Daphnia pulex: one gene and its partner. Each later gene encodes a partner of the first gene's protein in a complex. Links are inferred from orthologs where the notes say so. Each region holds a gene or a part of one and is shown in the gene's direction. Other genes may lie near its edges. The genes, in order: SUMO-activating enzyme subunit 1-like and small ubiquitin-related modifier-like.

Evidence for each region.
Region 2: the proteins of SUMO-activating enzyme subunit 1-like (region 1) and small ubiquitin-related modifier-like are in contact, whole or in part, in a crystal structure (PDB 3KYD), measured with the Homo sapiens proteins. The link is inferred for Daphnia pulex from reciprocal best matches to the Homo sapiens genes SAE1 and SUMO1. Residues at the interface, in NP_005491.1 of Homo sapiens: Thr179, Lys180, Val181, Ala182, Lys183; in NP_001005781.1 of Homo sapiens: Asp30, Ser31, Ser32, Glu33, Ile34, His35.

What each region holds. Positions count from the first base shown.
Region 1 is NC_060026.1:14,821,182-14,838,026, reverse strand, and holds SUMO-activating enzyme subunit 1-like, read left to right. Parts: upstream 1-9,262; 5' UTR 9,263-9,416; coding exon 9,417-9,508; intron 9,509-9,582; coding exon 9,583-9,748; intron 9,749-9,812; coding exon 9,813-10,069; intron 10,070-10,136; coding exon 10,137-10,330; intron 10,331-10,406; coding exon 10,407-10,551; intron 10,552-10,657; coding exon 10,658-10,820; 3' UTR 10,821-10,941; downstream 10,942-16,845. Other genes in the region: histone-lysine N-methyltransferase 2D-like, read left to right, coding at 23-107, 205-1,087, 1,173-1,369, 1,436-1,607, 1,669-1,892, 1,962-2,430, 2,518-3,151, 6,873-6,976 and 7 more; uncharacterized protein LOC124204020, read right to left, coding at 11,261-11,426, 11,675-11,848, 11,922-12,415. UniProt on the Homo sapiens protein: The heterodimer acts as an E1 ligase for SUMO1, SUMO2, SUMO3, and probably SUMO4. It mediates ATP-dependent activation of SUMO proteins followed by formation of a thioester bond between a SUMO protein and a conserved active site cysteine residue on UBA2/SAE2.
Region 2 is NC_060017.1:270,921-287,193, reverse strand, and holds small ubiquitin-related modifier-like, read left to right. Parts: upstream 1-8,818; 5' UTR 8,819-8,971; coding exon 8,972-8,980; intron 8,981-9,189; coding exon 9,190-9,330; intron 9,331-9,391; coding exon 9,392-9,463; intron 9,464-9,538; coding exon 9,539-9,598; 3' UTR 9,599-9,746; downstream 9,747-16,273. Other genes in the region: putative leucine-rich repeat-containing protein DDB_G0290503, read left to right, coding at 3,809-3,915, 4,792-5,023, 5,083-5,310, 5,377-5,601, 5,667-6,008, 6,084-6,407, 6,500-6,637, 6,694-6,972; serine protease inhibitor dipetalogastin-like, read left to right, coding at 9,898-9,922, 9,979-10,107, 10,177-10,329, 10,391-10,503; ADP-ribosylation factor 1, read left to right, coding at 11,722-11,869, 11,938-12,047, 12,105-12,230, 12,298-12,462; protein O-mannosyl-transferase Tmtc3-like, read right to left, coding at 14,540-14,791, 14,865-15,062, 15,127-15,312, 15,397-15,549, 15,633-15,705, 15,803-16,020, 16,118-16,211. UniProt on the Homo sapiens protein: Ubiquitin-like protein that can be covalently attached to proteins as a monomer or a lysine-linked polymer.

The sequences.
Region 1 (16,845 bases):
TTGTCATTTCCCCCCCACCCAGTTCCGGATCCGAACAAGACGAGCCACTCCGATCTCTACGGCAGCGGCAGCAGTTCCATGCTGAGATCCGCCGATTTACTGCACAAGTCAGTTGCTTTTTTGTTCATATTGTCCATGTGCAAATTTATTCTAATGAAAAATTCCTTTTCTTTTTTGTTTCCGTTTTTTTATTTCCTTACGCAGGAGCAGGATCCGGTTGATCGATGGGCGACCTTACAGTCCGACAGCGTCGCCGGAGATCGATCTGCTGGGCGGAATGATGCGTCCAGGCCCTGCGGCTCACTCGTTCATGATCGGCGGAGGTGGTGGCGGTGGGACGCCGATCACGACGCCGATGGGCACTCCGGCCGGAACGCCGCGAGGAGGCACCCACAGTCGTGACAGTCGCGATCTCCTGGCCTGCGACTCGCCCGACACGCTCAGCGAGACGGACTCACAAGCCTCACTCCGGCTGAGACGGAAGCTGCCGCTCCTTCCGCCCGATCAGGAGGCCGCCCTCCTCCCGTCGGTCCAGAAGAAGAAACTGGAATTGGCCAAGAGCCAACAACAGCAACAACAACAGCAGCAGCAGTTAGTCAGCGTCCAGGAGCGGATCAAGGCCTACAGCAATTTGCGGCAGGGCTCGCTGACGGAAGCCAACACATCCAGCGGAGGAGTCGACCGGGGCTACAGCAGCGGGGCGTCGGCCGCCTCCTTCAGCGGATTAACTCGCCCGACGTCCGAGACTAATTTGCGACAATTGGCTTACGGCGAATCCATGGCCAGCTCGCTGGCCGCCCGACCCGGATCGGCCCACGGACTTTTGCAGGGGTCCAGCATCGTCAACGCCAACGGATTACGATCGTCCATCAACAGCAATTTGACGTCGAGCAATCTTGCCGGCGGCGGCGTCGGCATCGCCCGCTCCAATCCTTCCATCAGTGTCAAATCCGAGGACCAGACACTCCGCGAAAGTTTGGCGGCCATCCTTCCGCCGGATTTGCGGCACTTGGTCGGAGCTCCCAGCACCAACTTGGTGATGACCACATCCTCGACGACCAACGATTCGTCGACCATCCTCAGCGTCGTAAGTTTAGACGTACCCGAAACGGGCAAACTTTTACCAAAACCGGAAGTTTATTCAAATTTTATTTCTTTTGGGTATTTGGCAGGGCGGAATTCGGACGGCTGCGCTAGAAGACTTGCGCGGATCACCGTTGACACGTCGCCGAGCCTTGGAGGAGGAGCTGCAGAGACTAACGGAGGATCGGGCTCGACTTAGGAACCAAACGGACAAGGACCGCGAACGGGAGCTGAGGATCCGCCGCGAGCTGGAAAAATTTGCCGCACTCAGAGACCCGATGAAAAGGTAAAAATCCAATTGCAAATTTCAGTTAATTTTCATTTCTAAAAATCATTTGGTCCGGCGGATTAGATTCGATACTCAGAGGCGACCGGGCAGCGCCGCCGCCGGACTCATTGGAGCAGCTCAATCATCGGCAACTTCCGGCGTCTCCTCCCGACTCCGCAAAAGCCGAGGGCATCGACGGCAGTTGTCCGATCCCAGAGTCTCTTCGCTCATGCGGGAACGCGAAGAATCTTCTGACGTAAGGAAAGGATCGGGGAATTTATTTCATTTTATTTTATTTATTTTTGGAACGTTGACAGAGATACTCGACGGCCAGATCTCAATCGATGAGCCGGGCCAAGGCTTACGAATACGAATCGATGGAAGAGCTGAACATGGGCGGCGGTGTGGGGATGGCCAATAAAGCCGATTGGGATCGCCATCGATCCATACCGACTTCTTATTCCGGCAGTGCTCTCAACCGACTCCTCACCGAGGACGATGATTTCCTTTCACGGAAATACTCGGCCGTTGGTAGCCGGAGGTAAATCCTCCCTTCCCCCTAAAAGCGAAATTAACCCGATCCTTATACTAATCATATGATCTTTTTCAGGACTCACGCCAGGAGATCCAGCGATGGAGGAATGACCATGACTGACTATCTGATGGATCCTTCTTTGGTCGGGTTGACGGGCGGTGGATCCTCCCATCACCAGTCTGGCCAGTCGAGTCGATCCCGTTACGCCAACGATCCTCGGATGTTGACCCGTGGACTTAGTTACGACATTGCCGATCGCAGTGGAATGATGCTGGGCGGTGGACACCACGGCGGCCATCACGGCCATCACAATTCCGGCGGCCATTCCAAATCGATCCTCTTGTCGAGGAAGCCTCGATCCTGGCACCCGTCGCCTTACGGCAGCGACGAAGAGTTCCTGGACGCCGAGGACGACATCCTGACCCGCGAGGCCAAAAAACAGAGGATCAAGGCGGAAATCGCACGCCGGAGGCAACAAATCGAACAGAATTCACGACTTCACGACGAATTACTCCGCCTGTCCCGTCTGCGCGAATCCGGTGACGTAAGTTGTGGGCCCGTTTTGATCCGGGATCGATCCCGTTAATGTATTGATTCACATTCAGACGATTTTTCGCTCGATTTCATTTAGGTGAGCGGTTATCAGACCAATCACGGACTGGTGGGCGGGAATAGTTCCGGCGGATCCTACGGCGGTGGCGGCGGAAACGCTGCCCGGCTAGCGGCCGCCGCCAACAACTCGTCCGTTTTGCGATCCATCAACGACATTTTGCGGGAAGATCGGGATTTCATCCATCGATCCCGGAGCAGTTCCAGCGGCGGTCACTTGTACCAGCCGGATTACATGGGCGGAGGTCATCACCATCACGTGTCTCCTACCCGACGTCCGTACCACCACATGTCGTCGGCCCAGCACCACCAGTACGGGTCGCATTCGAGAGGTGCCAGTCCGGCCCGCAGTTCTGGCAACTATTCCGGCGTGCCGACGGAAGAGGAGCGCAGCATGGAGCGGCTGGCCTCCACATTCCGGACGGAAGACTACACCAGCAGTCTCTACGAGCGTCTGCACGATTTCTCGCCTCTGGCCAGCGATCCTGAGCTGGGCGGCGGAGGCGGTGGCGAACACATGATGATGTACAACACGGGGGCCGGTCCGACGGCCATGCCGCTCTTGCCGGACATGCCCAGCCGGTCGCGCAAGCTGCTGGAGGATTTGGCCTACGCCAGCGCCAACGATGCGCCGACGATGCACATCCAGTCACGAGGCAAGTACGGAGGAGGAGGAGCGTCCGGGGCACATCCGCACAGTACCTCGCGCTATTTGTCGCCGCGCTGAATTTTTCTGTCGTTTTGAATTTCGGCGCGTAAAAATTTATTTCAAAATTTAAAAAACAAAACAAAAAAAGAACAAAATTTTGATCAAATGGCCATCATCATCCTCACATTCCCGTCCCTAAAAAGAACAAAAAATTAAAACAGGAATTTTTTGGGGGAGGGTTTTATTTCCCCAAATAATTCCGTCATGGAACCGAATTCTCCGGCGTGCCACCAGCGCAACATTTTGAATTTATTTTTGAATTATTTTTATATTTTCGGTCATCACAAGTTTTTTGGGCGGGATTTTTATTTTTTAAATCTTCAAAACGAGCTCGATATTTGAACAAAACAGCACAAAAAACTTAAATTTAATTCATTTTAAGAGCCGGGGAATCCCAGCAAATTTAGAAAAAATATTTAATTTTGATGTGGAATCAAAGAGAAACAAAAAACAAATGGACTCTTGGCCATAGACAGTCAGTTTTTTTATTAGGAATGAATTTCCCACTTTTGAATTATTTATTTTTTTTTTCCTAATTTGCATTTTTATATTTAAAAAAAAAGAGAAAAAAACAGAAAAAAATTTAATTTTCTTCTATCCTTTTTTCTTTTCTTTGGATGATGACGCGTCTCGACCGAGCAATTTAAAACGTGTGTCTGGTTTTTGTGTCCCGGTAGTTTTTTCTCTCTCTTTTTTCTTTTTTAAAAAATTAATTTAGTGACATCAGCCTTTTCATTGTTTTCCTTTTTAACGCGTCACTAAGATATTTCCAAAAAAAAACATTTGACTATCTATTATCATCATCTTTTTCTCATTTGTGTTTGACGCTTTTGATGTGTTCCACACCACCCAACCATCTTTTGATCACACCATTTTCTTTTTTTCATTTTCTTTCCTTTTCTTCATTACTTCTTGATTGATTTTCAGTTTGATCTTCTTCTTCCCCATTTAAAATCCAGCAGGCACAAGAATTTAAAAAAAGAAAAGATTATCGATTTTATATGAAAAATGGAAAAAGAACCAAAAACAACATTTTTTGAGTAGATTGTGTATTTATTCCTATCAGTAGTATTTCTTTTTTCTTTCCTTCGGTGTATGTTGTGTGTGGTCTTGGTAAAAATTATTCGTTTTCGTCGTCAAAGCACCGTATTATATTTCTTAGTAGGTCAAGCCCCCCCCCTCCGATCCCGCCATTTATTCATTCCCATCAACATAAATAATTCCCCGATTATTCCATTGATGAAATTTATTTTTATTTTTATTTGTAAAATTTTTAAAAACGAGAGAAATGTTGGTTTTATCTCTCTCTCTCTCTGGGACATTCTGCTGCACACACACATTTCATATAATGTCGTTTTTTTGAATGACGTATTATTATTATATTCCCTCAACTGTTTCATTATTTATAGTGGGACATCCCCGAATTTCTAATTCATTTCTATTGATTTTAATTTTTCCTTTGGATGGCATCATTTCGTAATTTTACCTTTTTTTGGTTTTTATTCGTGCAAGAATTAATTTCAATTGGATTGATGGAAATGATGGGCCATATATACATAGTAGCCATGTGCACTTGTCTCATTGATATCGTGACCCTCCCTTTTTAAAAATCCCGCCTCTCCCACTATTCCCCCCCCCCTCGACCTCTTTTCCTATTTAATGAAGAAAAAGCAGCAGCTCTTTTTTAAAATTTCCTTTTAGAGAGTCGATCGAAACAAACAAAATTTAGTTTTTTTTTCAATTCCTGGTGCCTTATGAACCGACCCGATATTTAACTCTTCTTAATATTATTCCCCCCTCCCAAAACAAAATCGTCGAAGTCCCCCCCCCTATGATGCAATATTTAATATCTCTCTCTCTCTCTGCGACTGATTAGAAAGATTTTTTAAAAATTAAATTTGGATTCGATCTACGGATTGAATTGCGTCAGTGTTTTACTTTGAAAGAAAAAAGGGAATCACAAAATTTTTAATTTCCAATTTTCTCTCTGGAAATTATTAAACGTCACTTATAATGTCGATAGCAGCGCACTTGAACGTCATTTTTGTTTGGCAGAGAGATAACCTGTCAACCGATCAATAAAACACGATGGAGGATTTCTTTTACTCGCATGATTATTTTCTTCTCTTTATTCCCCTATTTTATCATTTTTTAAAATTCAATTTATCGTTTTGATTTAGTTGATTTTTATTGCATTTTTTATTGAATTTTTGAAGAAGGCGCGTTATCATAATGTTGCTGCTGGTGGTCTGAACGCTCGGATTTGTTTCCAATTGACACTTTGGGGGAAATAAGGGATCTCGCGAGGTGTTTGTGTGTGTGTGTGTTCCAGAGGGAATCATTTTTCCATATCTTTCCCTCCAAAATTGTTTTATTTTGAATTTTTTTTTTCCCCATTTTTCACTCTCTCTCTCTCTCTGATTTTTGCTCGTTAATAATTCCCCAAAAACAATTTTGTGGGCCTTTTTTTCGTAAAAAAAAATTCGTGCAATTATTAGCTGCGTGAAAAAACAAAAGAGAGAGAGAGATATCAAACCCGTGAGGGACAATTTACATATTTCCAGCAGACCATGCATATACGCAATATATCGTTATATATGTGTTATTGCCTCATTCTCTTTTGAACTCTTCCCTTGGGGAAAAAATCAAAGGCATCAAATTCTATCCTTTTAATTCCCCATCCCTAATAAAAATAATTAAATTTAAATTTAAAAAAAAATAGAGAGACAAACCAAAAATCGTGTGTGTAAAATGTCAAAAGTTTTTTGGGGCTGCTGCTGTTGGATTTTTTTTTAAATAACAAAAATTATTTCCTTGTCTCCCCTCCCTTGCCACCACAACCCCCCACCACCACCACCCCCAACACTTCATTTTTTCTCTCTCTCTCTCTAACTCTCTCTAACTCTCTACTCTCTACTCTCTCTCTCTCAATTCATTGCATGTAATTCTCATCAATGTTGGCTGGCTAATTACACGTTTTTTCGGGCCTTCGTCGCGCAAAAAGAAAACTAACAACAAATCCTTTTTCTCTCTCTCTCTCTATCTTATTAGACATTCGATCTATTATTCTTCTATTATTATTACATTACATAACAATCACTAAATGTATTTCATTAATGTTTATACATATTAACTCGATTTAAATTATCGCATTTATTGGAGCCAAAAAACTGAGTGTCTTCATTATTTTATTTTTATTTCTATTTCCAAAAGTTGTTGTTGTTGTTGTTTTGTCGTTGATTGTGGCGAATCGATTATTTTTTTTTCTCCATCGGCAGTCGATTTAAATCACTTGGAGAACAGGCACACACGCACTCAGAAACAAAAACATTGAAATTATGTACTACCACGAGCGGGTTTATCGTCGAAACAAACAGTTTTCGATTGCTCCGGCGAGTAGAAACGTCATCCACCAAATTAATTATTATTTTATTTATTTTTAAAACATTTACTATATTTTTTAACAATTACTTTATTATTATCTTTGTGTAAAGTAAAATGATAAAAAGTTGGGTTCATTCCGGACCGGTGGAGTAGAGTCGAAAAAGTTTTTATCTTTTTAATTCTTATTATTTAATTTCTTTAATCAGGTTTTATGAAAAATTTTCGCGGTTTTTTTTAAATTTGAATGGGAAAACCAAAATGTTTGACATGTTTCGTTCCATCAGGATATGAGTATTCACCTGATTATGACGGTGGAGATCCTTGCTATTCGGAGCCGGAAGAAGACAACCGCAATCAATACCGTCGCTCATCCAACCGCCCATATGAGGTTTGTTTCTATACTATAATTGAATTGAATTTTCTAAATTTCAAAAAACAAAAAAGGGAAATCGATTGCGACTATAAAAGATTTTTCGGGGGGTGTCGCACGAACGCCAATTTTGTTATTAGCACAAAGGACCAGGTAAAAGACGCTATCCATTTCCCACCAAAAGAATCCTGTTGACATGCGATGCCAAATCCAGCGCCACTACCGGTAATTCATTCATTCTTATTCGTTTAAATTATTGTCCAAATTATTTTATTTTATTTTATTTTCATTAAGACAACGGATTGGGAATGCGAGTGGTGGGCGGATTGGAGATTCCCGGCAGTCGGCACGGCGAAATCGGAGCTTTCGTGACTGAGATTTCACCTGGAGGTGTGGTCGACACTCACGGCGAAGTCCAAGAAGGTGACCAGGTCCTCGAGTGGAATGGCATTCAGCTCAACAGCAAATCGTTCGAAGAAGTTCAGAGTATAATCTCATCCACCCGAGGCGAAGTGGAGATTGTCATTTGCGGGTATAAATAAACAACTCACGCAATCCCGTTTTTATCTTCTAACCGTTCACGATCCTATTTTTGATTTCCACCAGGGAGAAGGCCAGCTCGCAGTACGCCGAGTCCAACGTCCAGCAATGTACGAGGACCATTGCCGGCCCACGCGAGGAAATCGACATGAACGGAAATAGCAACAACCGGAATCATATGACGAGTGAACTGAGCACGGCTTCGCCGACGGAAGTCGTCCCTCAGCCGCCAACTGGACCTCAACAGCCGGTCGTTAAAGGTAATAAATATATAAATCTCTCAATAGATTTGTCCATACCTGATGAAATAATCGCCGGATCGATAACGGGTGCGCAGGGATCATTCGGAATAAAGTCCCGAAACCGGAAGAATGCTTGGAGGACCCTGAAGTGCGGAAGCGCAAGTGGACACTGCCTCTGGGTCAAGTCCAATTACTTTCCTGCTACGACAGCCGGGCTCACATCCTTTACGTGACAATCATCCGGGCCAGAAAACTGCAGACCCGACGACCCAATGGTGACGCCCGACCCGATCCGCTTGTCCGATGTGTTCTGCTTCCCGGCCGGAAAGTCGAAAACGAACGCCGGACTCGCTATTTGAGCCTGACTAGCGATCCGGAATGGCACCAAACTATGGTTCGCTTCAATTCAAACTGTTTAACATTTCAATTTTGTTTAATTGAGGTTTAATGTTTAAATTAGGTTTATCCGGCTGTTCCGCCCGCCGATCTCATCAAACGTCAACTGGAAGTGACGGTGTGGCATCACCAATCCGACGGCCGACTTGAATTCCTCGGTGAATTCCTTCTCGATCTTGCTGGTAGCTAAATTTGAATTAATATCAGCATGAAAACACTTTAATTTGATTTTTATTACGTTAAAAGATCCAGGAACCATTGACGAACAGCCGCATTGGTATACATTGCAAGATAATTCCGGCGGATTGGCCAGTCTACCAATGGCTCCAGACCACGGCAACGAGTACACAAACGGCAAACCTGCAGGTAACAAATTGCTAAGAATTTATTCAAGTTGATTTATTCCTAAATTTGTATTTGTTTTAACAAGGTTCCCAGCAAAGAAGTAGCATGGCAAGGGCTAGCATGTCTTCCGGACTAATGATGGATTCTTCTTCCTCCGGATGTCACGGAGCGGCCTGCACCATTCTCTGAATTCAATTAGTGTTTGAAAAAAATCCGATCATCATCGACACGTTTCACTTAATTGTTGTTGTTATTGTTGTTGTTGGAGACGTTGTTTCATTGTCGTGTCGTCGTTAAGTGTCTGATGTACTATTACGCGATGTGTATCATATCATTTCAGTCAACGAACCATATCTCTGTTTGGCGTCAACATCCATTCTCTCAACACATGCAATCAATTTCGTCAATCCATTTATATATGCTCAACATCATTTGATTGTTATTACCTCTTCGACATTCTACTCTTTTTGTGTTAATTGTGGACGATTATTCTGTCTGTGATGTTCTGTGTCCCTAAATCCACACATTCCCCATCTCATTGTCAAATGCACTTGTACATATTCAAACATAAGCTCGGCCTGATTTCTAGGTGTTAGCAGCAGCCAGCCTCTCTGTTCTTCTCGTTTCAAAAACGCCCGTTTATATATTGTTGGAGCCCATTGTGCGTAAAGCATTGGTGGTAATAAACTAGATGGAAACCGTTCTTTATTCGTTCGTTCAAAATTCGGGAAAAATTTGAATATCCAAAAATATTCTAATTCTGGAAATGGCAACGCAGCGTCTACACTCCATGAATTTTACGAAAATTCAGACGGACATATCCACTGCAGAGAGATCTGGGATTTTTCCAAACCTTTTTGTAGTTTAGATACTCAATTCGTCACTTTAATTTTGTTTAAAACATTTAAACAATCAAAATTGAAGCAAGTATTAAAATGGTGGCCAAAGAAGAAATAACCATCAGTGAAGCTGAAGCAGCACTTTACGACCGGCAAATCAGACTTTGGGGACTGGAAGCACAGAAAAGGTCTGCAAAAAGATAATGTTACTAAAAAATCTTGAGTGCATTTAACGCAAGTTATAAATTGCATTATATTGCAGACTTCGTGCAGCTCGAGTTTTGCTCATTGGGCTAGGTGGTTTAGGTGCTGAAATCGCCAAGAACTTGACTCTGTCGGGAATCAAATCCCTAACCTTGCTGGATCACAATGTTGCTGTTGCTAATTCTGCCAATTTCCTTGTTCCCCGAGAACTTGTTGGAAAGAATGTAAGTATTTCCTTCTAAAGCAATTTTGTCCTTATTGTTAATATCTGCATGTTTTGTTTGCAAGGTGGTTGAAGCTTCACTGGAAAGAGTGCAGCGTTTAAACCCAATGGTGGAAGTCATAGCTGACCAAGACAATGTTACCACTAAGAATGAAGATTTCTTTAGTGGTTTTGATGTTGTTTGTGCAACTAGATTGGCAGTTGAAGAGTCTTTTAGGGTCAACAGTATCTGTCGCAAGCACAGCATTCCATTCTATTCAGGGGATGTGTTTGGATTCACTGGTTTCTTCTTTGTCGATCTGCTTGAACATGAATATGCTGAGTAAGTGTTGAGTCAAGTAGAAACTGCAACAGTGAAATCTATATTTACATTTTCTTCGTGTATACAGAGAAGTAAATGTTGCTGCTCCAGCTGCCAATGATGCTTGCTCTTTGAAGACAAAAGCTGACCAAAGTGAAACAAAAACCGTCAAGCATATTCTCAACTATATTCCTTTACAAGCAGCATTTGAAGCTGATGCAGCAGCTCAGCTCAACAAAAGAAGTTGGCAGCGTATCAAGAGCCATTTCATCATGATGAAAAGTACAAATTCAAGAAAAATCAATTCCAATTGAATAGCTTAGGTGCATTAATTAATGTTGCCCGATATTCACCACAGGTTTGCTGATGTTCCGCTCTCAAATGAAACGCGATCCAGAAGTTGCAAACCGTCAGTCTGACATTGCGAAATTGTGTGAAATCCGGGATCACATTCAACACGAAATGAAACTGGACAACCAAATAATTGACAGCTGTGCATACGAGTAAGGATCGCAATAGAATTTTTTGATAGCCCACTAAGCATTAATATAAATTCAATCAAATGTCAGTGTGTTATATTATTTAATATTAATGTGAATTTATTTTTAGGGTGGTATTTGGCGAACTTAGTCCAGGGGCTGCGGTTGTGGGTGGAGTTTTGGCTCAAGAAATTATCAAAGCCGTGTCCCACAAAGACGCACCCATCCGCAATCACTTTTTCTTTAACGGTGCCACAGATTTCAACGGTGTTGTCGAAGCCATTGGATTTTGAACGGATTTTGTAACAATCTTCCCTTTTTTTTTTTTCTTAAATCAATCAATCTAATTCATTTTTCTTTGTGTTCGACATCTGGATTCCCAGTAAACTCAGTACACAAGTGGTTTATCACTCACGGCATCAATCCTATGCGGGACGTCCTTAGTTCGTTCCGCCAATTATTACACAATTTTTGGGGGGAGAGGGAAAAAATAATTAATCGGTCGCGGTTAAGCATAAATTAAAGATGGTGTGCAAAGTATGGGATTGGGTTAAAGAAAAGAGTTTTGGCAAATCTTTGTCATTTCAAAACAGGGGCAATTCACGGCACTTTTGCATATAAATAACAATGTCTAATAGTTGAATAAATATTAAATAGTCAATTCACAGGATGCCGCTGCAGTGGCGACTGGGCTCGTGCAGGGCAAAGTTCAGTCGCAATCTCGGTTGTTTCTTCAGGCCGTTGAGGGTGGTAAGAAGTAGCTGAAGAGGAAATTGGCCGCTCCGATAAGACTGAAAGCGCACCGGTAGCGCCGCTCACATTCTTCCTTTTCTTGTCGCCCAAACTCGGCTGCTCGTTGATACTCGGATGGTTTATCGTCTTCCCGGGATTGAGGGGATCTGTGCATTTGAACAAAAGAAGAAAGAAAAATGGGAGTTGAGTCACGCTACAGTGAAAGTTGGTAATAACGGTGGAGCTCCAACGGTGAACGCATTTAACTGTCGTAGACTCCATAAACTCACTCAACTCTTTCTTGCGGAACATTACGTAACTTTTTTTTTTCCTTCCCCCTTTATTTCCCATTTAGTTATTTAAAGTTTGGGAGAATTTCAGTTAACCGTGACGACATAAAGCCCTATGAACTTACAGCATAAAGTAGCGGACGGGGAACACCAGGTAGCCGTAGCGTTCCGGATTTCGGTAAGTTTCGCAGACTGAACGCTGCACGCACGTTTTGGCGTCCAGCCCGGCCAACGAGGCTACATTGGCTATCATGGGCAGAATGGATGAAGAGATTTCATCTTTTTTTGCTCTGCTGGATCTGTTTTTATTTTTAAAATTGAATTTCAAATTGAATTCTTCTCCTTCGTATAAATTTTGGAAATAGAACTTACTCGACGACAGTCTTCTTCCCTAAAGGAGAGCGGGCGGCCCAGACGTAAGGCATGATGGCTATACCACCGACAATGGCCAGACCGAAGAGCGACAAAGCGGCCTGTTTGGTGTAGTCCTTTCCGGCCGTGGCTCTGTCTGGCAGCGAGAAAGAGAAAAGCGGAATGGTAAAGGCGAGTGTCGTGTTGAAGATGCCCGACGAAGAACGGCCGGTTTCACCGTCACTAATTTCCCGTTTGACAATCTTCAACAGTTCACTGAAATCCCTGCCTTCCGATCCTTCATCTTCCTTATCATCTGCTTCTTCCACCTCTTTGGGAGTCACTGCCATTTCTTTGCTCAGTTCAGCTTCATCTTCCGTTTCGGCAACCTCCGAAGTATAAGAAGAAGTTCTGGACGTCGATGCTGCACTGGAACTGTTGAACAGACTCAAACTCTGTGAGAGGAGCAACCAGAAAACGATTCCTGATAAGACGTGCTTGTAAAAGTGACGCATTTTCACCTGTAATAAAACCAACAGAAAACTAAATCAATCAACCGACCAGGTACATCATAAAATGTTTCCATATCCTGCCGATGGCAGTTATCTCATTCCGCACCGGCTTCAGAGGATCTTATGTACCTTAATAACCGCTAAACAAAAAGTGGTAGAAAGTCGATTGGGTGCAGGAAATGAGCCACAATGGGACACGGACGAATGCAAACGAGTAACCAAAAGCGTCCGAAAACCGCAACACACACACGATAGACACACACAAACGTTGATGGCGTGCAACAAACAGTTGCCGAAAGAAAAAAGTATCTGGATTATTATTGCCGCCGCCTCCTGCCGGGCTGGAGCTATCGTCAAGACAAGACGGTCAGCAGCAGCAAAGAAGAAGAAATCGACGGAAGAGTCACGCTCCGAGTCGCGTGGGTGGTGGTTTCCTGTCGTCGTCGACTCGACGGAGGTATAACGGGATCGTCAGAGTCGGCATTGTTCATTCCATCCTTGACTCGTCGTCGTTTGGCCCCCTCTCATTGGACAAATGGACGACAACATAAACTCACTGGGTCAAACTAGTCGGCTTGTTGTCCGGCATTCGTTAACATCTTCCGCACCGCCATCGCGTCAGTTATTCTACACGGACGCCTCGCTGCCGCTGGACCAACACACGTCACGTCGCCTCATTAAAAGGTCAACTTCCGCACTGTTTAACAGTCCCGTTTTGTTTTAAATTTTTTCCGGGCTTCTTCCGTGTCTGTCAATTTGTAGGACTTATTTCCGGATGGGCAGATGACCTTCGCACTCCTCGATCGAGTTGTTTTAATCCGCGTGAGTCACCTGGAGCAAACCAAGACACTGGGTACTGGAAATTAAAGACGGAGCTCTCTCGACTGTTCCGTCCGAACGCTGCGCAACAACTACGGGATGTTTCCTCGTTGTCGTCATTTGACTACTCCTGGGCTTCTTCCCTTCCCCCCTCCTCCTCTCCCGCAGAGGGTTTCGATATAAAAAGAAAAGAAAAAACTCTTCTCTTGGAATCAACCTTTTGCGTGGGAACCTGTCATCCGAGGTAGACAGCCTAGAAACCCATTCTGGCGTGAGTATATTCCGTTCATTTAACTATAAGCTTACAGTACTATATTAAAAAGAGCCCAAAAGAGTCTTTTTTTTTATTTTGTTCAACGCGTGTTCTTATACATGTCTTATTCCAGTTCTTTTTTGTTTAGAAAGAAAAAGACTTAAATTCACGCGACTGCTTTTACTGTCACCCCAACATGATTGAATATTTCTCCACGAGCGTGTGACGAACGATTAAAAATGATTTCTTTCGCGTGAGAGAGACGCCAGCAGGGTATATTATAAGTGGTAGAGGTCAGCCAACCGCGTAAGTGTGTGCATATGCATCCGGACACTGAGCTGTCGTAACAGCACCTCAATTAACTTTACACATTTCGCGTGGGTAACTAGTCTTGCGCAATTGACTGGCTGATGGAAAGAAAGACCCCCTTCGTGATACATCCAAAGAAAAATGTTTTTTCCAGGTAATACCCAAACCTCATTCTCGTGTTCACGAAAGCCTCATATTAATTTTCCTTTTTTGTTTTTAGAATTTTCTAGACACCTGGAATCGTGAAAACAAGAAGGGGAAAACAACGCGCGGACGCACTTCATCATCCCTGACTGCTGGTTTCATTCCCCAGTGCTTTTGGCCACCCAGGTGCATTCTAAATAATTTTGGCGTCGCAGAAATAATACCGTATCATGTGGGTAAGCTGTGCAAAATGCAAAATTTCGATTGTTAGAAACAGCAGCGGGTGGCGGTTTTTACATAGAAACGGAAATGTGGGACCCATGGTTACTCTTTGCCTATTGAAGCTGAATAAAAATGCCCGAGACATTTTCATTTCTCGGAACTGTTGCGGCTGATGCGGATTTCCGACCGCAACTCAACATCAGGATGGTCGCAAGTATATACATTTATTTTGGAAGAAGAAGAAAGAAAATTACTGTTTAAAACCTGATGCCTACCTTCTGCGTTTTGACAGGAAAAGAGTTGAAGGGGAAGTTTGTTGTAATCACTGCCTCCAAGGAATAAGCGCGAGTTGAACTGTAATTTGACGTAACTAGAAATCAACTGTGAACGACGTTTGGCCAGACGTCGAGTTTTTATGATGTAGGTCGAGCCCAAGTGTTATACATCTTCTTCCTCCACTATTCTGTTTTACTGTTTTGATGCTAGGTTTGAGAGGAGGAGCTTGTCATTTTCATCCGGAGCTTGATAGGATCACTGCCGGTCATTTCGTGTCTCGCATCGAAAATTGAACGACTCCATCCGGATCTAACCGCCAGCTTTGGATGTTCAGCACCCTTTCCGGTTTGAGTTACGATCATAACGGCATTATCTGATCCATCACGACTATTACCTTCCACTCAAGTTTAAAAGAAATTTGTAAGTTTGAAAGAAAAGATATCGTCTTATCTATCAAAGTGCCCATTCATCTTTCAGTTTAGATTGTAGGGCATCTCCTATCAATCCTACTTGGTGATAGTTCGTACAAGACTGTTTGATTGTCATGCAGACCGTCAAATGTTGTGGGAAATGGCTACTAACCTTAGCCGTAGCTGACATAACGACAAAATTTCAATCCAACGGGAAAAGTTTAGATGGCTAAAAGTAATGCAACGTCGGGATTCTTTTTTCACGCGCCGATTGAATACTAATTAGCCAACGAATAGAAATAACAAAATTTTTAGAGTGCTGGTTAACATGGAAGTTCAAGATAGGCTATCGTCTCACGCCGAATACCGTATCGGTTGGCATTTTTTTTAAAAAAGGAAACGGGAATTTGGGTCCCGCCGACGTCATGTCTGTACGGTCAAATTAATGTGTTGTCCGTGATGGTTTATTTGTTATTTTTATTGACGCTTTATAGAGTCGTAATGAAAGTTCTCGAGTGTAACTTTTTTCCAGTTCATTTTACTGTCTTTATTTTATTGCTGACGACAATATGAGGGCCGAAATAGTCATTTTCATTTCTAGCTATTGAATTCTTTTATTTTCGACGATACTAGATGTTCAGCAGACAATGCCATTGCTACACTATTTCGTAATAGTAGACGTAGAATAGACAAGCGACAAAAGCCACCCACGATACGAAATGTGGAATCACTTTTCGAGTTAATGGAGCATTTCCATCGCTGGCCGGCCCAGTTTGCTCATTACCGCTTGCGTTTCGGCTCTGGGCCATTGAATAACAGTCGCCTTCTTCTGAATAAGAGAACAAAATGAAGAAAACACTGTGTCTTAGGGAACTATATAGAATAACGACTTACAGCGCGGTGTCAGTGGGAACTTTGTGCGGGGAGATCAGTTGGCATACTGTATGGCGGGAAGGAAAGAAAACCAACTCGTGATTATTTGAGGTAACAATCTTATCATCGCTTTTTCCATTCCGCATCCCACATCTTATCTCTTTCTAATACTTTAACATACACAGGCGGGTTACAGAGTGTATAATATGAAAATTTACTGTCTGGCTTTTAAAAACACATCATGAAATTTGAAAAAAAAAGAGTGTCTAGACTCGCTAGACTTCATGTTTGAGAACCCATTTTCGTATAGTCTCGGGGGAGTGATAAGGCTTTTACTAAAAACGCCGGATTTTCCTCATGGGGCCCAACAGAGCGTTTCGGTCTTGATATTGTGATACTAGGAAACTTGAATAGCCCTTAAATCAAGATGTTCCATAATGGAACGGTGAGTAGGCACACGTGCACTATGGGAGTGTAGGCCATGCGGATATTGCGGTAAATTTCCATACCTGTCCATCCAATTGTTAAACGTGGAAATTGGTTTATGAAAAGCTGATCTAACTTTATTTGATCTTTTTTAATTCCTCTTGAGAATTAAAATCTATTGAATCGTTATTATTGCTTTTCTTGGGAAGAATAAGTTGAATAAACCTATAACATTCTAACTAATACACTGAAAATTAGTTCGCGCCTTTACAATCTTTTTCGTTGGATTTAGCTGTTTACCTACCTTTCTAGTTTCTACCGTGAAAATTGAAAAATGGTGTTAATTCTTTCAATACAATAGGTGAATCGCCGGATAGGTGGCAGCTCTCGACTCGAGTGGTCATTGGTCAAGCTCGATTTCTCAAAACGTCGTCTGCAATATTGTTTAACACATTTGAAATTTAAGAATTCAGACAATACCAGACAATTTTTTGTAGTTTTTCATTTTCGGAAGCTCATTAGCCTACAATCGGTAATTGTCTTTTGTTTCTGTTTCATGTATTATCACACTTAGGATTGTGTGATTGTGACTTTTAGAAAAAAAACAAACAAAAAAACTTGTAAGATTGAGCTTTTCTATATTTGCGTTCGGTTCGTTTCGTTTGGAGCACGTGAAATGTAGTCTATTTATTCTGATTATG
Region 2 (16,273 bases), on another chromosome or scaffold:
TTGTCGAGTCGCCAGCTGCGCCTTCCACATTCTTCTTGATGTGCTGATATGAAAGTCCTTTTCTCCTATATACATATGTATATTCAATCAAATCCGTCCTAGACATCCGTAAAATTATTATATGCATTGTAAGAAACCAGTTTATATAATAAAGGGTTGCATTATTCGTGGACTTATTCGTGGATTCGCACGTTTCCTTGTTGCTACACGTAGGGATTAATGGATTATGCTCGATAAAAGCAAAAGAGAATTGTGGATTTAAATTCCCCACAATAAACAACAGGTTACACCAACAACTGTGGCGACCGGCGACAATCTCATGGATTTGAACGCTACTAGGATCATTGAATTCGTTTTGATGAAAAAAACAATTTTCCTTGAACGATTTTGAAAAAAAAAGGGGGCACGGTGGTTGGCGCGAAGGTTTGAAATTTGAATTTCTTTGTTGAACTGTATTATAGTTAGTAGTTTATTAAGCATATTAAACACATTTTGGGGTTGATTTATTGATCACTATTTGTTGTATGAAGGACACAAATCTTTAGAATATTCGATGGCTGATAATCTCGAATAGCATTTTTTGTGCTGTTAAATAACGTACTGTACTAGCCTACCATCGAGGCCAAAATTTGATGAACTAACTGCTCATGTCTACTGAAAACGAAGTAAAAATTTCTGTGTCACACCAGCCACCAGGCAAAAAATTCTACGGCGCTATGATATGATCCTTAAAAATAAATAAATAAATAAAATAAAAATAAAATAAAAATAAAAGTTCTATCTTTCCTTCCGTTTTAAAAATTAAAAATTTCGTTTGTGAAAGTTTACATTGAAGATTGTATTGAAAATGTATCATATGTACACACTCCCACGCCACTTCTAAGCTTTTGCGTCATCATGAGTCCAGAATGATGTACTAATATTTTTAAAAAGGGCATCAGATTGGGGAAAAATACACTGAGATTGATAGTAATAATAAATACGTCTTTTTTTATCGAGTGAACGCAAGCTATCTTATATTTGCACCTGCACTGCGTATACATTGGTCATGCGGCTGATTATCGTGGGTACCGTTTTATTTTTTTATTTTTTACTATTTAATCGGTCGACAGCAGTGAGTTCGAGGACACAAATAACTGTGTTTAATACACTTATTTTGCATTTGCACCGATTTACACCAAAAACCTAATCAAAATCTAGGACTGTTAAAAAAACACTGGAATAACTGCAAACAAGGATGTTTCTTAGATGTCTGTTAATCACCTTGGTCACAGCGGCATTTCTGAAACGTATGCAAGCAACGGAAATGGATTCACAAGGTATTCTATACCATATCTACTTTTACTTTATTTGTTTATCTTGTGGAATTTGATTGCATCAGGTATATTTCGAAGCTATTTCCCGATTTATCTACTCAATACTTATAGTCTTCTTATCCCTTATCCACAATTTATTAAAGAATTCCAAAGGTGTTGTTACGTCAAAAAACACTTTGATTAACTAACTAATAAGTAATAATAAGAACTTTTAGTCATCTTAATATACCCATGTTAGTAAACAATAATTCAAAATGTAAATGTATATAGCAACTGATACCAATAACAGAACAAATTACTTGTCGGAATGCTTGAATGACGATACTTGAATGACGATTAGATTTTAACTGTATCAAGGGAAATACTTTGAAGAAATTCAAAATCGGTTTCATCTCTCATGATTGTCATTTTTTTTTTTAATCTAGACGTTAGGTTTAATTTTAACAGCACAAAATATATTGTACGGGCGTACGTTAAGCTTAAAAAAAAATTTTAACGAACCGTTTTTCCTAGAAACCGATGGGCGTGTTTCTGTTTGTCCAGCAGATGGAGTGTATCCAAATTACTACAATTGTTCAACTTTTATTACCTGTTCGAACGGTATTCAATATCTGATGGCTTGCCCGGAAGGACTCATATGGAACGTAGACACGAGCGAGTGTGACTGGCCGAACAATACAGAATGTGTTACCTATCCAGCGATGTCAATTTAGGCAAGTTGCAAGTAACAAAAATAAAAATAGACGCAGTAAAGTAACCATTGATTTCTTTTTCATTATGTGTAGACGAATTGACTACTCGTCGAGCGCTTATTTCGGGAAATCTTTTGTTTCCGGGGGCTAAATACATTTTCTAGTTAAGGAAAGAAATAAGGGCTCTAAATATTACTCTTGTAGTTCTTTTATTTTTAATTATTGTTGGGATTTAATCTTTACATATTTTAATCGCCGTTTTGCGTTTTAGTGCAATATCACTCAATCTATTACCTTTTATACAGTATTATAATCTTTAATCCAATAAACGGTATTAGATGTGATTGATTGATTTGTCGTTTTTAATTTCCCGCCATGATTCTCTTTTTCAACTGGATATTTTATCCGCCATCTAACGTTGAATTTTGTAGAAAAGATAGCGATGAAATTTGAATGAAAATTTGGACGTTGGCACAGCGAACAGTCAACTATAACGTGAAATAACGCATTACATACTGGTATTGATGATTACGTTTCCGGGTAATCTACGTTACATACTGTACATATTTGCACAAATTTTATTTTTCCCATGTTTTTTGCTCTAAAAATCTATAACTATACCTAGGAGTTCATCGTGGATATGTACGTACTTCAAGCTGCTTTGAAATCACAACTTTAAATTATTCATTTTACAAGATGTAATATAATGTTAAAGTATTCTCCCATCTCCATGAACCAATCATTAAAGTAGCGCTTGATGCGCTACTTACGTATGCGTCACTCTTTTTTAATACGTCATTCTCGTTTTAATTATTTGGCCAGACAGCAGGTGCAGGTCTTATCATCAATGATCAATCGAATATCTCCCGTTCAGAGATTCAGAGGCGTACGGCACTTCCTGTTTTTTCGTATTGCGTTCAATGACAGACGGAAAAATTTATTTTTAAATAAAATAATCTAATAGCTACCAACATAAATATTTTTTCTTTTGAATAGCATGAACTGCAAAAATTCACACAATAGAAAGTTAAGAATGTGTGAATTTATTTGATCCAATTAAGGTCAGTCAGCTAAAATTCGTTACTTCTTGTTTAGAATAAACATTTTTTTCAGGTTCGGTTAAAGGAGATACTGAGACATTTTCCCCAGACATCTGCTTTCGCTGTACGCTTACGCTTGCGAATGCTGTACCGATTTGCAGCAGTTTGTCTTTAACTATAGCAATAGGGTGTTCCTAAAAAATTTTTCAAATTCGAACACGTCGGAGAAGCGTTTCGTCAATGTACGTAATTAACGTGAAATGTCAGTAACATTCATATTACGATGTATTACGAATGCTTACGGTACGGTCTATTTAGACATGGCATCAGACCACTTAGGTCCACCATGACTGCTTAGGTGTCACTGTTTCAAATATTTTTTTTATGAACGACATACAGAGGGTATTTATTAATTTTATCTGATAACTCTCTCACGACAATATATACAGTATTACATATAATAACTACTCGCAGCACTGATCACAATAAGCAAAATCAGTGATTATACGGAATGAAAATGGCTTATTTTTTAAAAGTTAACTGCTTTTGTCAGTTTGTGTTGATAATTCGATAACAGCTGATAAATGTCATGCTGCGGCAAGCCCACATAAAAGTGACTCGAAATTGCTCACTTTTAGCTTTGGCTTGACGCAGAGACAGTTCTCTCTCATTCTTGGAACCCACAGTTTGTTTCCGAGATCGTCCCATCTTCTTCAGAAGCTTTACGTCCGCCTCCTCAGTCGGACCATCTGAAGAAAGAATGAGAACGTTCTGGTATTTGATTTCGGCGACGGCCGTCATTTTGCTTCATCCGGTAGCCACCCAGACGCCTCAACAGCCAGGAGCGACCGCAGCATCTCTCATCACGTGAGTAAAAATTTTATCATATTAGTTGGGCATGGCAAGTCTTCCTCATTGTGTACATTTGCAGTTTTCTCCATTATTACAAGATGATGGCTAGCATAAAGGGATATGTGATGTATAGAAAGCTTTAAGATTAAATTTTCCTTCTAACCAGCGGTCGGGGAAGGTTTGGGTGGGGAAAAAATCAGCAAAGTCTCTTTCGAGTACTCCTTTTTGCGCTCAAAGACGTACACACTGCCGTATCCAATTACCTCTATGCTATCCGCCTCATGGGGGTCTATCTAGTTGCTCAAAACAACCTTGCCCTCTTTCTTTTTGCGCTCCCATCGTTGCTCTGGAATTAATAGTTGTTGAAAAGTCTGCTGAACACATGTGCTGCTAACAACAAAAACAAGAATATGCCATTTACTTGTGAAGCGCTTGAACGGAAATTCTAGCTCGCCATGGGCCGTATATGCGGCCGGCGGTAAGGGGGTTGTCTGAGTCTCCAGATTTGACCATAGATAATAAAGATTCATAAATGTTTGATTTCTTTTATTCAAACACGTGGATTGAGTAGCTCAATGAACAAAACCGAAGAAACAACGCCCATTTCCTGTTGTGGGAACTTGCCGGCGATATGACAGAGTGACAGAGGTCGCCGTTTCCCTTTCGATTTGAAATAAGTCGATGATGTCGCTCGTGTCATCCTTGTTTCCAAGTGAATTGAAGTCTTCCCGCTTCCTCGAATTCCTCAATGCCTTGACCTCAATCGACAACATTTTAAAAGATTCTAATCGTAGGCATGGTGATGTCATTTGCCATGCGAATTAGGCTATAACTCGTCTCTTTTCCCAATCTGCGGTAAATAACACATCTAATCGAGTTTCGAAATGGTAGGCATTCGGACATCAGGGACGCTATTTTGACGCTGGTCGGAGCAGTTAGAGAGCAGACGGGCAAGCTCGAACGCCACGAACTTCGTGAGAGGCAGCTGGGAGATGCCCTGACGCGTTCCCTTAGAGATCTTGATTCACGAACACGTGGTCAAGATAAGAATCTGGAGAACCTGGCTATCCTCATGGCCCGAACCGATGAGCGGCTCCGTAAGATGGAAGAAATGGTCATACAGGTAACTTCAAGTCGATCTATAATTAAAGGTCAAATATCAACCACAATATTTTATATCAGAGGGACGAGAGAGAGAGAATTCAACTCCAGAAAATCACTGACAATACAGTGGCTATCCGCAATGGAATTGAATCCGGAAGAAGTGCCGGTGCTCCTAGTGGTCCTGCTCCGGCAGCCGCTTCAACTGGAGATCTCGGCGAAGTACTGAAACAGCTGACTCGCACTCGTAAAAAGGTGGAGAGCGTGGAAGAATCATTGCAAAACCGTCTGTCAGTTGTGGCTAACGAAGTAAGTATTAAGAAAATTAATCCAGTCAAGATCGCGAGTGAGAGCTACATGCTGTTAACTTCCTAGGTGAAAATCGTTGGAGAAAAGTACGAAACGCGCAGTGAGAGACTAGAGAGCTTACAGTTGACTACCATGGAGAACCTGGGCAAAGCTCAAGCTGGCGATGCCGAGAAATTGCGAGCTGCATCTGTCAATCTGGTGGCTACGGAAGGCAAATGGCGACAGTTTTTCAGCGATGCTCAGAATCTGGTCAACCAGTTTGGAGTTGGTGTCAACCGCATTTCTGATCACGTATACGAGTTTCAGAGTTCATTCTTGAGAACAGATGTCAATGAAAATTTCATGATTGCATCCAGGCGAGTCGAATGAAGAATGACACTTCAGCCATCTTAGTCGGTATTGAAAAGCTGGAGACATCTTTGGAGAATTCCGGATCGTCTTCCGGATCGCAGAGCAATCCTGAGGCCCTTGTTTCCGCTATTCAAGTCCATCTGAAACCAACGCTCGATGCTGTTCATTCACTGGTCAACGACTCGTACCAGTCACAGATGAAACTAGACGAAAACTTCAAAGAAGGTTGGCAATCTTTGTCACGCGGAATTGACAAAGGTGTGATGAATGTCACCGATGTGTTTCAAACTCGACTTGGAGCATTTGAACACAAAATGAGTGAGAGTCAGAAGCTTATCCAAGACCAGGTAATGCCAATAATCTCTTTCACAATCAAATAATAATTGAATATCATTACCACATGATAATTTTTCATGAATTAGGTGGAGGAATCTGGAAATATGGCCGAGACATTGGCCGACAGGGTGGACAAAAGCTATGCAAGTCTTGCCAAAGAAATTCACGGGTTGCAAAAAGTAGAACAAGTACTTCTCGACACGGCTGATGGAGTTCTTGATACGAAACGACGTCTCGAATTTGCCGTCCAGCAAATTTTGCTTGAATTGGGCGACTCAATCCGCAGACAAACGGGCGATCTGAACTCGACATTAGCCCGCAAGGTCGACGACGTCACCTTCTCGGTCATCAAAGATCAAAGTACCGCACTTACTAACATGACAAGTAAACTAGAAAATGAACTCGGACAGGTACACGGACTATAAAAATGATTTTACTTTTATTATTAGTTTTTTTTTTCCCTATTTACTAATTTATAGAATTCATTTCTAAAATCATCTAGGTCTGGCGTCAGATTGGCGTGCTATACCAGAGCGCCAGTCAATCACAAGAATTGTTGCAACGAGTGGAACAGCAGACAGCCCAACACGTCGGCGGTAGTCTTCAAGCTCTCAGCAGCATGGACAAAAGAGTTGGCCAGGTACGAATATCTTCGAACGACATTATTATGAAATTGATTAATGAACTTTGTTATAGGTAACGGAACGGGTCAACGAAGTTGACGACCATTTGAACTTTTTGCTGGGCCGCTTGTCGTTAGTAGTGCAGGAATTCAATCAAGTGAGGGGTGGATTGGGTGAGGCTCTCGAATCACTTCGTTCAGGACTTGCAGTCACAGGCCAACAGCCAAGTACGACGGCCGGTAAATCCTCTTCACCTCCTTATGACGTTTCCAGTGGTCCAGTACCCAATCAAGAGGACGTCACCGTTATCACGCGGAAAGAGAATATTAATAACGACAGCGACGAGAATTGAAATTGAATTGCTCATTCGTGACTGAGCTGTAGACAATAGCATTGAGCTTCTTTGCAAAATTGAGAACAGTAGACATTCGTAGACTTAACTCTAGTTTAATTTTTATGTAGTCACAACTTTCATTTCGGACGAAACACATAAAATATAAGTACAGTGCTCATTGAGTAGAATCAACCCCACTCTATTAGCCAAAGTAGATTCTCATCGTACGCAACCAAATAAATTACCGCCAAGTTTTTAAAATCCTATCAATCAAACAATACAAAAAATACGGTCTGTATTCGTTCCTGCGGCGAACGAAGATTAATTGAATTCCACGCCACATGTCTCACATAATAAGTTGCTCCTGCTGCGTGTGTCAACTGGATAATGCACCTTCTGCCTCCGTTCTATTTTTTTCTCATTCAAATGTGAATTGTACACTCGTTGCCAAAACAAATAATACATTAGATACACATTTGTATATGAATCACACGGCTAATACTTGAATCAATATGACACATGTTTCGTATCTTTTTTGACAATTTGACAATCGTGTGGCTTAGTGAGTTGTACTTTTTTCCTCTCTAGTTCTATATTGCATTATAGCATGGATGAAGTCAATACAGGAAACGAACAAGTTTTGACAAAGATTGATTGGCTTCCTCGTCTGACTGTTGTTCAACTACCGAAGGATCAGTGCAATGCTTAAAAAATATTTCTGTAAAGAAGAGGCATCATCTTGTATAATAAAATTTATCTTGTTGTAATAAAACCCCCAAACCGTCTCAAAGGTAAGGTTTTATTTCATACTAAAGCGCAATAATCTAGAACAAAATAATTTGTACAACAACGCATTAATAGCTATATGGAATTAATTAATAAAAATGGCAATAAATTCGACTCCTAAAATGAAAATGACGCTGTTGGAAATTTTTCGTTGGGTTAGCAACAAGTTTGACTACTAAAAAAAATTGCTCGAATTCCAGTGGAAGGTTTACAGAATCAAACCAAAATTTAACATTCATTCAAAAATATCTAATAAAATAGTCTTCTATAATTTCGGTTTGCTGTACTCCATAAGACACAACTTGTCAGTAAGCAAGAAATTTTCTTAAAATTCCCCTGGAATAGGATGCTATTGGTCGATTAATACTGGTGTGTCGCTCATTCAAAAGAACGAAGTCAGCAAACAGAAAAAAATCCGACGATGCGAAACTGTAACTGTAACAACACAAATTATTTACTACCTACAGATGTCGCAACAATGTTCCTTTTTTTATTACGACAGCATTATCAATTCGTACAGGGAAAACCAGCAGTCGTCCCGCCATTTAATAATTCAAGTCATCAACTCACCAAATTCGATTCTAGTTTGCTAACTGATTATTGGAGTAACTCGTTTCTATGCTGCGGTTGGCATTTACAATCTCAGCAAAAATTTTTATGGAGTGAGTGCTATGGACGTAGTGACGGCTGTAAACCTATTAATTCATGAAACATTAATATGATGTATGATTATCAAATTAAATTAAGGGACATCAACTGCACGCACACGTTGCTAATAATCATCCATAACGATTGCTAACTGTGTAATAATTGCTTAAGCAGCCAAAATGTAGTCGAAGAAGATCTCAATTTATATTTTTATTGAATCAAGCCATTGGATATCATCAGTCTTAATTTTAAATATTATCAATCCCAAATTACATATTGTGCAATTGTTTCAAGCAAAATATTCTTCAAAGCAGCAAAAAATTTAAAAAAAATCCTACAAATTTTATTAATATATTCCAATTTATTTAAAAAAAGTTTTTTAATTTAAAAAAATGTACTCATTTCATACGTGGCCGGCCGTTGTTAAAATAAGTTTTTAGTGCAGTGCCGGCATCCAGACGTATATAGCTGGTGCGGCAACGTTTATTCTCGGCGCTTTTTTGGCCCACGCCATTATTCATTATTCTTCAATAGAGTCGTCTCAAACGTGCTGCTAGTTTTAGAAAAAGAACTTGTTTTAACCATGGCTGATGTAAGCACGTAACTATCTATGTTACTTTTTAAGTATTGCTAAATTTACCCCATTCGTTTCTTTTTCCATAAAATTTGTTTTCACGTGTTGTCTTTGCTGGATAGTCGATTTTTTTTTAGTTCTGATCATGTGTTCGATATTTTAACTGTTTGCCTTTGCATTACCCTATACCAATTTGGCTAACTGTGGTTTCTATTTTTAATATACAGGATCAGAAACCTGATGCCGGTGATGCAGGATCAGAGTACATCAAATTGAAAGTTGTTGGCCAGGATTCAAATGAAATTCACTTTCGAGTAAAGATGACGACACAGATGGGCAAACTCAAGAAGTCTTATAGTGAAAGAGTGGTAAGGGTTTTTCCTGTCATTTTTTTTTTCACTTATTGATAAAGATTTTCTTTGTGTTCAGGGTGTGCCAGTTACTTCGCTGAGGTTTTTGTTTGATGGAAGGCGAATTAATGATGATGAAACCCCTAAACAGGTATGTTGTGTCTAATGCACTTAGCTGATGTGTTAAATGATATGCAAGTAATGAATTTCTGTACTGCTGTTCTAGTTGGAAATGGAGAATGATGATGTCATTGAGGTTTATCAGGAACAAACTGGTGGCAATTAATTTAAGAACCTCGATGCATTCATGGAAAACTTTCCACATTTTCTGGACAAAACTGTCTTTTAATTTCCAATGTTGTCATCAAAATATCGCCCTGCTTTCTGTTCTTCATTTCCAATCGAATAAATAAAACCATTTTCGTAACCGAGAATGATCCTTTCGTTAACTTATGGGCACTCTGCCACTTGTTTCTATCAACTTGTATTGCTATGAATATTGACATCAAAGTTCAAGGATGAAAGGTCTTGACTTCCATTTCTTGCTTTTGATCGCAAAGTGCGTACAAACCTTTTCGAGAGAGGATGCATTGCACAACGCTGTTGCTTGGTAAAAATAAATTGTCAATCAAGAATTTATAATATACTTTATTTTGTGTTGTTCAGTTGTACTAGTAGTAGGTGCAACAAGTTGTAAAATTCCCAAAAGTTATAAACCACTTTGTGGGGTTAACGGGATTTCCTACACGAATCTGAAGGCTTTACAGTGCCATAATAAGGCTAGCCCTGGAAACAGTAGGCTATTTGAAATATTCTTTTTTAGGAAATGGTTCCATCCGTGTTGAATTTGTTTGGTTTTCTCAGTGATTCGAATAGCTTATAAAGGACGCTGTCTTCGACCTGATATTCGTGAATGTAACTATTCTTCAGTCGTGAAAAATGTCTGCGGCAACGACGGGCTTACCTATCTGAATCCCGCAATGGTTGCATGCAAGAACAAATTACAGCCTAAAAAACGTATATTTTTATATCATACATAATTAAACGATGCACAGTTGATATTTTTATGACATTTTAGAGGTGAAGATTATTAGCAAGGGCAAATGTAAAAGTAAAACAAACGCTCGAAGAAGAAAAGTGCCAAATAAAACAGTGAGACCCGGAAACGTCACGGGACCAAAGCAGAAATAGGATTACTCCCCCAAAACCTCACTTCGTTCGTTATAACTTGTATCATGCCAAATTAGACTCTAAACTCTCAAAGTCAATATATGTCAATAAACATGACCAACTTCTGTTTAAAATAAACGGCTGGGTTCTGACAAGAGATCCGTGTTACTAATGTGTCAACTATGCCACAATGCCGGCTCGTCATTCAATTTTCTCGTGCCATGTACTATATTTTTTAAAAAATTCGCCGGGTTTCATTTCTCAAAATAGTTCAGATTAATGCAAGCATTCTTAACAGTCGGCGGCCGTTTTTCAAGGAAGACGGATCTACTAAGATGACGTGTTAAGTTCGTGCACAATACGAAAAGTGCCTTTAATCCTTTTTTTAAAAGACAAAACATATGGTTAATAAGCGCATCGGCTTCCAACATACTCGATAGAGTGGGAATCAAACAAGTCACGTGACTTGGACTGTGCTATAAAATTCGATCCAAGCATTATTTTAAAAAAATGTCTCCCTTACTCACGCCTCTAGTGTATACAACTTCCAACTATTAATAATAGTACTAGATGTCTTGATTTTGTATAAAAAAGGTAAATCCTATTATGAGCTATCCAATCCTCTTGATTGAAAATAAATTTTACAAATAATTGTAATGACAAATATGAACATGCAGTTAACAATTAACGTTCTAATTCTTTGATAGTGTTTTTGTTTTTAGTCACTAGGAGCGCATGAGACAAGCTTAAAGGTGAGTGGGCGAGTCTCTACGATTTCCAGAAGAGGGTCGGGCACAGCTTTTTCTACTTCATACTTTTTGACGTGGCAACGTAACGTTGAATAGCTAGTTGAAAGAGGTCTTCGTCCGCCATTATTAACCCTCTGCTCGTAGTCTAATTCGGGCTCGTTCATTCTTTGGAATCCGTTGCGTTCGATTCAGAGTCCGTAAGTTACCTTCACCACATTTACTAAAGAGTCGAATATGTCAACTTCTAAGTGTATTAATAATTAGTTCATTTTGCGAAGCACTTGTAATTGTATGTCGTGTCGAGTCGGTTCTGCCACTCCACAAACTTCACCGAGTCGGCGTTGAGCAAGGGTTTGACAGTTGCTCAATGTCTAGCTTCAGTTTAGTCATTAGTTAGCAAAGATATATCTTTGTAACATTTTCCAGTGATTCTAATTGCCATTCTTCCTTTTTTAGGTTATATTCTTAAGTTATTCCATCCAACTTTGCAATGGGAAACGTTTTCGCCACCCTGTTCAAAGGCCTATTTGGCAAAAAGGAAATGAGAATATTGATGGTTGGACTTGACGCAGCTGGTAAAACTACAATTCTCTACAAACTCAAGTTAGGTGAAATCGTCACAACAATTCCCACAATTGGTAATTTATTCAATTTTCAGCAAATTTGACTTGCAGTTTTTATCATGTAATTTGTTTTTATTCCCAAGGTTTCAATGTAGAAACAGTTGAATATAAAAACATATCTTTCACTGTTTGGGATGTTGGTGGCCAGGACAAAATTCGACCATTGTGGAGACATTACTTCCAAAACACACAAGTATGTTTATTAAGCTAAAAATTTGAGTGACTTTTCTAATTGTCCATTACAATCTAGGGTCTCATCTTTGTAGTTGATTCTAACGATCGTGAGCGTATTGGTGAAGCCCGAGAAGAGTTGATGAGGATGCTGGCCGAAGATGAACTCCGTGAAGCCGTGTTGCTTATTTTTGCAAACAAACAAGTATACTTGTCTTTCATTTTCAAAAATGTTTTGACAACAATGACATCATTATTATCCTTGTATTCAGGATTTGCCGAACGCTATGAACGCCGCCGAAATCACAGATAAACTTGGACTTCATTCTCTGCGCAACCGTAACTGGTATATCCAAGCAACCTGTGCCACCAGTGGAGATGGACTTTACGAAGGGCTTGACTGGCTTTCAAACCAATTGAAAAATGCGTCGCGCTAAAGAAAAGAAGATAAAAAGAAACAAGATTTTCAAATTCATATTTTTCAGCTCTAGTAATCCTTGCCTCTCGGCCTCCTTCGCCACCTTTCATCTTTTTTTTTTTGCCCCCCTTCCATCGAGAGTAAGAAAAAGGAAGGCAAACACTTCTGATCCTACTTGAGGGTCCTCTCGCTGCTCTTACAAGGGACATTCCTGGTTTATTCATTTCAGATAAATTCTTTTTTCTCTTCAAAAATGGAAGTAAGCTTTTTTTTTTCTAATGTTCGTAATCGGTTTATTAGCACTTGAGGCAAGGACGTCTGTATATTGAGAACCAAAAAGGCGATTTAAAAAAAGCAGCGGTACTGAACAAGTGTTGCCACCTTTTGTTTCTGTTTTTCCGTGTGCTACAGTTAGGCCCTCATCATCCTCCATCTTTTTCATCCCTTCTATTTTAAATCTAAATTTGTCTTGTGCAAAAAAAGGTAAAATCTTGAGTACGCCAGCAAACATAATCGATACCAACGATGAACAGTCCCCCTTTATTTTCTATTTCCATTTTGTTGTTTCCTCTTTATTAGTTATCTTTTTCGGTTAATCTTGGAAAAGATCTTGGAAAAGAAACAAATGGGACGAGAACATCGCGAGTTTCTCTCAGTGTGCTGGGTGATTCCAGCTGGATATGTGCTGTTTGTTGCATACAAGGCAATACACATCTGCCCAGCCGTTTACGTTCTGTTTAATGTAAATTGTCATTTTTTTAATCCTCTGATTAGATGTCAGATCGTAAATTGATCATTATGGTGGTGTTTATTCATTAAATAGGAAATTTAAAGTTTAAAAAACAGTTCTGTGTCGTGGAGAGAAATTTAATTTTACTCGTTTAAAAATGAAAGTACAGTAAATTTTAATTCCGACTTGCTTTTCGAAACGAATATTAAAGTAATTTTTCCATATAGTCTCTAGTGGCACTCCTATGTGTTCATAAGTTTTTTGTAATTCCATGACGGGGTTAAAAACCGGTTAAAATTGTAATATGCATACCTTTCCCAAGCCTTGTTCGTCAGACTTAAAACACCTGTGTTTTATCGCGAGGATATTCTTTTAAAAAACCTAAAATTATTACGAAAAGAAAAATACGTATAGATTTTCATAGATTCAAAACGTTTATCTCGAATCAAATACACGTAAATATACAAATAGGTATATGCGAATTTTTGAGTATAGATAGTGTGAAAGTAGACAAACTAGAATTCGAGAACGAAAACTAAACAAGATGAACGGACAAATATGGAATGGCACTTTGCACTTGCGATCAAAATGCCGATTGTGATTTCGAGGATGAAAGGATATTATTTCATAAATGAAGCTCATATCACAGTTTTGGCCTTTTTTTGTAATCGAGTGAAATGCGCACGGTTGTGCGGTTCAGCTGCGACGTACGTAAATAAGCCTCCTCTCATCCATAGTATATGCCGCCCACCAATTTGCGTGATAGTACACGCGAGAAAAAACGGACAACCGGACCGGACAAGGTCAAAAGATAGCAAAGCTCCAACACTTTCACCAGCATACAAAAATAATGGCGTGAATCAAATATTTCTCTCTGTTCTCTCATGTCTTACCGTATTTCACACATATGTTGTCAACATTTATAAATATCAAGGCACCTTCACACTGAACCTGAATTCATCAGCTGCAAATTCCAAATACTTTTCTGGTACTCTCTTAAAACATCTGGACTTGATTAATAGATAGTAGTTTGAAGGAAAAGGTGAGATACAAGTAAAGCGATATGAAAAGTTGTTCAGTCCCTTTCCAAAGACTCTGAATCTGGTTTTGCAAATGGAGTTCTTGGAATGTCAGTCAGCAACCTAGGCAATCAGCAATCATACATACGTACACACCAACACACAGACGACTCAAAAGCTCACGCCAAATGTCACTCGCGTTTGAAGATCACTTAATCGAATAAACAAGTCAAAGATAGGGGCCATGGAGATATTAACAAGGATCAGTATGGGCAGGAGAAGCCTCGTCAATCATCTGGAGTGGGGTAAAGGATGGCTGGGGTAAAAATTATGGCATTGATCAATGATCAAAGATGCTGGTCTTTCTTATCGATTTTCTTTTGCTGCTGTTTTTTCTGCTGAGCGGCAATCAATTTGGCAATGCGCGTCTGAACGATGTTCAGGTGGCGGACGATGTAGTCCTCGTGAGGAGCCAATCGGTGGGCTTGCTGCAGACACTTTTCGGCAGCACTTAAGTCTCCTCGCTCAACGTAGACAACGCATAAATTGTGCTGTCCTTGCACATTCATCGGATCCAGCTCCAGGATTCGGATGTAACACTGAAAGTGCACGCACAAAAAAAAAACTATTAGACAACAGATCGAGCGCTTGAATATATTTAAGTAATATTACTCCTTCGGCAGCTTCGAGGTCCTTCATGCTGTTGATGTAGATGTCTCCCAACAGAATAAGACCTTTGATGTGATCCTGATGATGATGAACGAGCTGCTTGAGAAAAGGTACAGCTTCCAACGGTCGTCCCGTGTCGCTGAGTAAAAGGGCCAAATTGAAGAGAGCCGACCGAAAGTTTGGTTTGAGTAACACTGATCCCTAGAATTCAAAGTTAATTATACATTTTAACTCTCCGTATTATTATTAGCTTGAGGGAGTATACTTTAAAATAATGTTCGGCTGATGGCATGTCTCCGTTGTCCATAGCCAACATTCCAAGGTTGAATAAAGCTCTTTCATTAATGGGATCGAGCTGTAGCAAATGTTTTAAACGTTTAGTGGCTTCTCGTCGGCGCCACTGAGTAACCTCGGCATTGACTTCACTCTGCGAAGAATCCGATTCAGCGTTCTGGATAACATGTAATCAAATTGCAAAAACAGACGAAAAGTTGAAGGATAGTTAAGCTTGTCTAGAGTTTTAATGATATTTTACATCTTGATGGCCTTTATCGTTTGCGGCCATTTCTTGAAGGACGATAGCCGAGTTCAGTAGAGACGCTTGATGATCGGGTTCCAGTTCCAACGCTCGCTCCAAATACGCCAAAGCTTGACTAGGCTTCCCTTGCTCTAACAGAACCACTCCCAGCTGTCAAATAAAAGAGAAAGTTAGCCAGACATACTGAAAAGAGTCGACACATTCGCGTAAATTTGACGAAAGCGGAAACTTACGTTGTAATAAATATCTGGATTGTTTCTGTCGTAGAATAGGGCTTTCTCGTACACTTCCTGAGCTTCTTTCGTTCTGAGGGATTTACCGCGGAAAACAAAATTGTCGATGAGAAACATAAACCGTCAACGACTATGAACTCGCCATGTTACTATATAACTATATACTGTACCGGTTCATCTTGATGAGGATGTCTCCGCGGTTGATGTAGGCCTGAGTGTAATCTGCTCGCATCGAAATCGCCTGGCGATATAAAGCGTCCGCCTCTCCGAGTCGGGTCTCATTGCGAGCAATCAGATTGGCCAGATTTAGAAACACGTTCAAATGGTTGGGAGCGATGCGGGCCTGGTAACTCTCACCGGGCTTGGCTCTCGGTAACAAGGATTTGGCCTATTAAGATCGCCACAACACCAGTTCATATCAAGTTTCCCACAAGGATTAATTTGATTTTGATTCCCTTTCCAACAAGAGGAAATGGGTGCAGTACCTTGAGATAAGCTTCTTCGGCTTCTTTGAACCGGCCCAGATTATTGTAGGTGCGGCCAACATTGATATGGGCTCCAATGTCGTCATCTTGAACCCTTCATCAAGTAGACATCATATTAGGTATAAGATTACCAATGGAACGGTTGTACAAGCTGAT